Sus scrofa: one gene and its partner. The protein of the gene in region 1 purifies or fractionates together with the protein of each later gene. This does not show direct contact. Links are inferred from orthologs where the notes say so. Each region holds a gene or a part of one and is shown on either strand. Other genes may lie near its edges.

Evidence for each region.
Region 2: the proteins of PHB (region 1) and VDAC2 purify together in Homo sapiens (affinity purification with mass spectrometry; 4 studies listed by BioGRID, with this or other methods). This does not show direct contact. The link is inferred for Sus scrofa from reciprocal best matches to the Homo sapiens genes PHB1 and VDAC2.

What each region holds. Positions count from the first base shown.
Region 1 is NC_010454.4:25,595,942-25,599,927, reverse strand, and holds the end of PHB (prohibitin), read left to right. Parts: intron 1-856; coding exon 857-952; intron 953-2,305; coding exon 2,306-2,518; 3' UTR 2,519-3,408; downstream 3,409-3,986.
Region 2 is NC_010456.5:77,773,593-77,777,404, forward strand, and holds part of VDAC2 (voltage-dependent anion-selective channel protein 2), read left to right. Parts: intron 1-1,144; coding exon 1,145-1,297; intron 1,298-1,388; coding exon 1,389-1,441; intron 1,442-2,932; coding exon 2,933-3,160; intron 3,161-3,812. UniProt on the Homo sapiens protein: Non-selective voltage-gated ion channel that mediates the transport of anions and cations through the mitochondrion outer membrane and plasma membrane.

The DNA of each region.
Region 1 (3,986 bases):
GGGGAAAGAAATGAAGCAAGTAGAATTTGGTAGCAGAGCCAATGCTGTCGTCCCCTTTCTTCTTTCTGTTTGATAACAAGTTAGAGGAATAAATAAGTCACCCTAGACCAGGCCTTAGAAGTGCTGGGATCCCTTGCACAGTCTGAACTGTCCCGATGCGACTGTCTCAACACTTCAGCAATGTCTCGGTCATGCCTGTTACTAGGGAAGGTCTGTGGGTGATCAGAATTTTAAACCTTCACCCTAAGCGATATCTTTCCCTGCCTTCTCTTACTCTTCTGCCTTGACCAGAAGCACTCAGGCACAGGCAGTACCGTGGTTTGCACAGTCCCGGTTTGGAAACCTCACCCGTCCTCCTCCTGTTGCGTGGTGGAGGCGCTGTGAGGAACACGTGGACTGGTTAATCCATAAGCACCAAGCATCATGCTCTTGAATCCCTGAGAACCAGCTGCATCCCTCCCTCTCAGGGGCTCACTTTTCCATCTGGCTTCTCTGGGGGCTTCCAGCAGGCCATCAAAGGACCCTGGAAGAGCACTAGTCAGCGGTGGGGGTGCTGGAACCCCCCATGTCTCCTCCCCTAGGGAGGTGGTCAGTTGAGTGATACCTTCTGGCGCCCGTGGGCTGTTTCCCACCCGAGGGGGCAGCATGATGCACAGGGGCACTTTGGGCAGCCGCGGATTCTGGAAGTGCACTCAGGTAGGGCACGGATGTGGAGGTGGAAGGGTGTTCTGGCCTCATGATGCCTCCAGCTGCTAGAGCCATTCCTGGCCTCTTCCTCCAGCGGCCATGGGGGCCTTGCAGCAGCGCTGTCTAAGCAATTACACTGCCTGGTCTCGCGCTCACTCTCTCCCCTTAGACGCATCTGACCTTCGGCAAGGAGTTCACAGAAGCGGTGGAAGCCAAACAGGTGGCTCAGCAGGAAGCAGAGAGGGCCAGATTTGTGGTGGAAAAGGTGAGCGCTCAACCAGATGGCAGGAGCCCCTCTCCCCCTTCCTCCTGTGCTCCGCCTCCCGGTTTGCTGGGTGGCCTGGAAATTCATCATCTGTCATCTCTTCTTCCGGGACATCGGAAGGGGATTGAAGGGACTCTGCTCCTGCAATTGGTTCCAGAGTCTTTGGGGTCCAGTCAGGGATACGTGGGGTTATGTTCCTAAATCACTGAAGGGTAATTTTTTTTCCACTTCCCTAAGATCAAAAACACTCTCCCACAAATAAAGATGTTCCTTCTGGAACATTTTCAGCTTCACTGAGAAGTCGTTTTTAACCATGGTTACACAGTGAAAGCTGACAGCAGAAAGGATCAAACGTTGCGCCAGATGTACCATCATCACTGGATTTTTTTTTTTTTTTTTTTTTCCCTCAAGCACTAAATCCGTCCAGATGTGTCAGAATGGGCTGGGACACAGCATGTTTGCATGGAGCCTGGTCTTTTGGTCTTTGCAAAGATGTATTTGCTTCTTGTACCCCCTTCGCCCCCCGACTAGTCGTCTTGGGTTTATAGTCCTCATCCAAGGGGGTCCTCAGAATCAGAGAATAGAGGGGTTTATGGGTAGACGTTTAACTCCAGAGCATATCACTCCGTGTGGGTGGCGACTTCTTGCTCTCCTTCCTCTCTCCAGCACCTAGAACCTGTCCACAACCGTGCCTGGGCCTAGATGCTAAGGATCACTTGTTGAGTGAACAGTCCCAGAGCCTCCGTTTAACAGCTGTGTGTCCAAACAGCTGTGTGTCCATTGCCGAGAGGCTTGGCACTGTGCTCTCCTCCCGTCCTTCTGAAGGTCGTGCTGTGCAGGTCGATGCCATCCTGTCCCAAAGGGTAGGGAAAGCCCAGGAGAGCTCGTCCTGGTCAGGAAGCAGTTTAGCTCCTGTCTAGGGAGCGTCCCCTGTCTGTGGTCCTTCCGAGCCACGCTGGTCTTGACCGAAGTCGCTTTGACTTGGAGCTGGAGGGAAAGACGAGGGTCGGTTCCTCCTTCTTTCTCTCCTGGTTTCCTTGGCCTGGGATCCTCAGAGCAGGGGGGCTGCATTGCGTTGTTATTCGTGTTCTGGAGGACTGTGAAACAAGACAGCGGTTTCTGCAGCCACCAGAAACATGTCCCTGCAGGGCTGAGCAGTGGGCATGATGGGCGAGCGGAGGATTGGGCGGCCAGTGCTTGCCGACCCCGCCTGCAGGGGGCGGCCCATTCCCAGAGTGCCTTTCAGGGCCCAGTGAGGGCGCCTGACCGGGTGCTTTTGAGGCCGTAGCCTGCCGTCCGGCACCCCGACCTTGCTGTGACCTTGGTCTCCCTCTGCCTCTCCGCCCGCCGTAGGCTGAGCAGCAGAAGAAGGCAGCCATCATCTCCGCCGAGGGCGACTCCAAGGCGGCGGAGCTGATCGCCAACTCGCTGGCCACTGCGGGCGACGGCCTCATCGAGCTGCGCAAGCTGGAGGCCGCGGAGGACATCGCGTACCAGCTGTCACGCTCCCGGAACATCACCTACCTGCCGGCCGGCCAGTCGGTGCTCCTCCAGCTGCCGCAGTGAGGCCCGCCCCTCCCGGGGCCACTGGACCCCAGCCCCGGTGATCTCAGCCGCTCCTTCCTTCTCCCACCCCAGAAATCACTGTGAAACTTCATGATTGGCTTAAAGTGAAGGAAATAAAAGTAAAATCACTTCGGATTTCTAATTACTCTATCAGACGAAGCTCTTTCATTCCTCTCATTTCCATCCCCTCTTTTTATCCACCTCCCCACCAAAAATTGCCAAGTGCCTATGCACACCCACTTGGCTCCCGTCTCGGGGGCCTGCTGGCGCTCCCACCTAGGCACTGGCAATGGGCAGAAGAGAGGCAGGGCTGTGAGTGGGACGAGCCGGGCAGGACGCTGGTGGCCTCCAACCGATCAGTCATTCAAGACCTGAGGCCCATGCAGCTGAACTGCGAACACAGGCCTCGGTTTTTTTCCAGTGGTCCCTGCACAGAGAGGTGCTGGGGAGGGTCCGAGAGGAAGCGATCTGTCTCTCAGCATAAGGCTGATTCTCTTTAACTGGGGCCAGCGGAAGCAGGTGTGTACAACCGACGTGGACTGAAAACTCTGCCCCTGTGAAGGTGGGTGGGCCTGATGTGCTGCCCCTCAGGGTCCTAAAACTGGAGTGGACTCGGCTAGTGAAAGAGCGGCCCTGGACCGAGATGTGAGTCCTGCAGACTTCCTGTCCACCCCCCACCTTGGTGTCAAGTACCGGCGGAATTCCAGCTTGAAGGATTGCATCCTGCCGAGGCTGCACAGGCCTGCCAAAGACGTGTGCGTCCTGCGTTCCTGGCTCCCTCGTTCAGAGACTGCCCTTACAGAGGGCTCTGCGCCTGTGCCTTGAAACAACCACCAGAAGAAAACAAGTGTGTGTAAACTGCTATCAATAAATGACATCCAGACCTCCCAGCTCAGTCGTAATGGGTTTGGTGTTTTCACTTTGTTTTCTGGGTTTTTTTTTTTCTGGTGGCAGGCGGGGGCGGGGGGGGGTGGTGGTTGCTTGTTGGAATTCATGGGTTGAGGACAGAGCATTCTAGTGGTTTTTGTGTGCTGGTGTTTGTATCACCGGCGAGGATAGACTCTCCGGCAAGGCAGAAAATGCTTTGGTTTCAGAAGACACTGCTGTGTTCCAGGTCCAGCTGCAGCCGGAAATAATCGGTGGTGTCAGGTGAGGTTGGTGGCAATGTGGTTTCCTAGGGAGGTGAGGGTGGATGGAGGTTCATTTACCCGTGGCTTTTGGTGCCCCTACAAACTGAGCGTTGTAGGCCCACCACCAAACGAGAGATGGACATAAAACACCCGTGTGCTAATAAGCCCTCCATGCGCTCTGGATAGACTTTGCTTTTTTTGGCCACCCCGAGGCATATGGAGTTTCCGGGCAGGGATTAAATCTGAGCTACAGTTGCAGCTATGCTGGGTCCTTTAACCCACTGGGCTGGGGCCAGGGATCAAACCTGCCTCCTGGTGCTGCAGCAATGCTATGGATT
Region 2 (3,812 bases), on another chromosome or scaffold:
TCCAAGCCACGTCTGTGACCTACACCACAAATTACGGCAACGCCGGATCCTTAACCCACTGAGCAAGGCCAGGGGTTGAACCTGCAACCTTATGGTTCCTAGTTGGATTCTTTTGCACTGTGCCACGATGGAAACTCCCAAATAATTCTTAAAAAAATCTTCTTTGGGAGTTCCTGTTGTAGCTCAGTGGGTTAAGAACCTGAGGATGCAGGTTCTATCTCTGGCCTTGCTCAGTGTGTTAAATATCTGGTGTCGACTCAAGCTGCGGTTAAGGTTGAAGAGACGGCTTGGATCCCATGTGGTCATGGCTGTGGCGGTGGCTGGCAGCTGCAGCTTTGATTTGACCCCTAGCCTGGGAACTTCCATATGCCACAGGTGTAGCCCTAAAAAGCAAAACAAAACAAAACAAAACTTTCATGGCATACATTCTTTTAATGGGATGCTTTCCCTTTAAGAATTTTCAGAAACTATTTCATAGTAAATTATATCAATTATTATACACTGATTTTGATGAAGGGGGTCTGTGGTTAGTCATACTGACCTACTTAGTGTTTTACTCAGGTAGATTGGAAGCAGTACTGAAGCACCTGTTCCTTTTCTTCCCCTCACTGGGTTTGTTTTTTTATGGCTGCACCGGTAGCATATGGAATTTCCTGGTCGGGGGTGGAATTCGAGTTGGAGCAGGAGTTGCCAGCCACAGCATCAGAGTTGAGCCACATCTGCAACCTACACTGCAGGTTATGGCAACACTGAATCCTTAATCCACTGAGCGAGGCCAGGAATTGAACCCACATCCTTATGGATACTAGTTTGGTTCTTAACCCACTGAGCCACATTGGGAACTCCCCCCTCACTGGTTTTTGAATGCCAAATGAAATCATCTTAGCAGAAGTTTCCTTAAAAGCTGTATACTTTGTTGTTCAGTGACAATTTGTTGGAAATATCAGCAATAATAAGATGGCACTCAGTAACTTGCAGGCTAACTTGTCACTCTTGTATATTTGGTAGTAAAGGGTAGCAGTGTTTGGGAAGCTAGAAAAAGGATAGTGAAGTTGTTTGAGTAGGGATTTTTTTTGTATGTGTAAGTTAGTGGATTCTTCTAGGCTTAAGAGAAAGTTCATGATGTTATTTATTTTCTTGTTAGGAATTCTCAACATCTGGTTCATCTAATACAGACACTGGTAAAGTTACTGGGACCTTGGAGACCAAATATAAATGGTGTGAGTATGGTCTGACTTTCACAGAAAAGTGGAACACTGATAACACTCTGGGAACAGAAATCGCTATTGAAGACCAGGTAACATTCTGAAAGTGTGCTTTACTATTATTTATTTTTGTATTTCAAAGGGAAATAAAGCTGAAAATAAATTCTTTTTCTTTCCAAATAGATTTGTCAAGGTTTGAAACTGACATTTGATACCACCTTTTCACCAAACACAGGGTAAGCATGGACATTTTTATTTTTTAATTTAAAAAATTTTTTTTGGTCTTTTTCCTAAGGCCGCACTTTGCTCACCTGGAAGTTCCCAGGCTAGGGGTTGAATTGGAGCTGTAGCCGCTGGCCTACACCACAACTCACGGCAACACCGGGTTCTTTAACCAGCCGAGTGAGGCCAGGGATTGAACCCACATCCTCATAGGTACTAGCGGGTTCGTTACCACTGTGTCACAACAGGAACTCCATGGACATTTTTATCTGCTTTAAATTGAAAAGCATTCCTCTTCTGTATTTAGGAAAGGTGCGTATTTACTGTTTGATAGCTTATTGAACTTCAGCTGCCTTATGGCAGATTTCCGTTTCTGACTTTGGAGCATGAAGCATACAGTTGTTCGCTTGCCTTCAAATATTTGCCTTTTATCATTGTGGCACTAATTTGGGCAACTGACATGTGTACCATAGGCTTTTGTGACTGATAGCCAGTTCTGCAAAACAGTCTTCCTGTGGTGGTGGCAGCAGCTCCTTTGCCCCATGTGCCCTCAGTGTGTTCATTGAGCTTGATTTGATTATCCTGCTACCTCTTTTACAGGCAAACCTTGGAGATACTGTGGGTTTGGTTCCAGATCACTGCAATAAAGTGAATTTTGTAAAAAAGCGAGTTACACAGGTTTTTTGGTTTCCTAGTGTATGTAAAAGTTATGTTGACGTTATACTATTAAGTGTGAAATAACATTATGTTGGGCGAAAAAATGTACATGCTTTAATTTAAAAATACTTTATTTCTGGAGTTCCTTGGTGGCTCAGTGGGTTAAAGATCTAGTGTTGCCACTGCTGTGGTGTGGGTTTGTTCCTTGGCACGGAAACTTTTATATGCTGTGGGAGTGCCCCCTCCACCCCCAAAAAATCCAAAAACTGCTTCTGAAAAATGCCATCTATCAAGAGTTCCCCTTGTGGCTCAGTGGGTTAAGAACCTGAGTAGTATCCATGAGGATGCAGGTTTGATCCCTGTGGCTGTGATATAGGCCAGCATCTGTAGCTCCAATTCAGCCCCTTGCCTGGGAACTTCCATATGCTGCAGGTGCAGCCTTAAAAAAAAAAATGCCAGCTTCACCTGAGCCTTCACTGAGTCATAATAGAACATCAAAAGACCACTGACCACAAATAACTGTAACAGATATAATAATAGTTTTAAAAGTTTGAAATAATGTGAGAATTACCAAAATGTGACAGACGCAAAGTGAACAAATGCTGTTGGAAAAAACACCAGTAGGTTTGCTTGATGCAGGATTGCCACAAACCTTCAGTTTGTGAGGGGGAAATGGCCGTATATGCAAAAGCACAATACAGTGAACTGCGGTGAAACAGTGGGATGTGCCTGTACTCCCCAGTTATACTGTAGTTCATTTCAGTAGGTTTTGTGCCCTCTGTGCAGAAGTTAGGTATGTAAATCTTTCCCACTGGCATCACTTTTAAGTCGATTTGTTCTTTTTCCAGGAAGAAAAGTGGTAAAATCAAGTCTTCTTACAAGAGGGAGTGTGTAAACCTTGGTTGTGATGTTGACTTTGATTTTGCTGGACCTGCAATCCATGGTTCAGCTGTCTTTGGTTATGAGGGCTGGCTTGCTGGGTACCAGATGACCTTTGACAGTGCTAAATCAAAGCTGACAAGGAATAACTTTGCAGTGGGCTACAGGACTGGGGACTTCCAGCTACACACTAATGTGTGAGTATTTCTTTTGTGGCATATTATGATGTAGGACCTCAAAGTGATATTAATGTCTGATGTTATTTTCTGTGATTCTGGGTACAACCCAAAGGAGTTCTCTTAACATAAAAAGATCATCTTTGGGCATTTCTAGAGTGCCCCTCAGAGATGTATACGTGTTAGACTGAGACACATTAGTTTCAGTTTGGTGCTGAAAGAGTAGATGTTTATTTCACATGAGGCTTGATGTGCTTTGGGTTTTTAGAAGAGGCCAAGACATTACCAGACTCTACTAGTGCATGCATTTAAATTGATTGTGATGTGTGAGGTGCTCATTTGATAGGATTGCCTAAAAGGTATAGTTTTTATCTAACCCAAATTAAATGTATATGTGGAAAGGACTTAAAAAGATTTCTATCCCTTATAAAAATGATGCATTGGTAAACAACAGAAAAAGAAGAAAACCAGAATTTCTTATAATCCCACTAGATGTATAATCTTTAAAACTTCAGGAAGTTCCCCGGTTGTCTAGTGGCTAGATCTTGGTGCTTTCACTGTTGTAGCCCAGGTTCAGTCCCTGGTCTGGAAACTGAGATCCCACATTAAGCTGCTGCTTGCCACAGCCAAAAATCAAACAAAAATATTGAAAACATTTAAAGTTTTTAGTGAC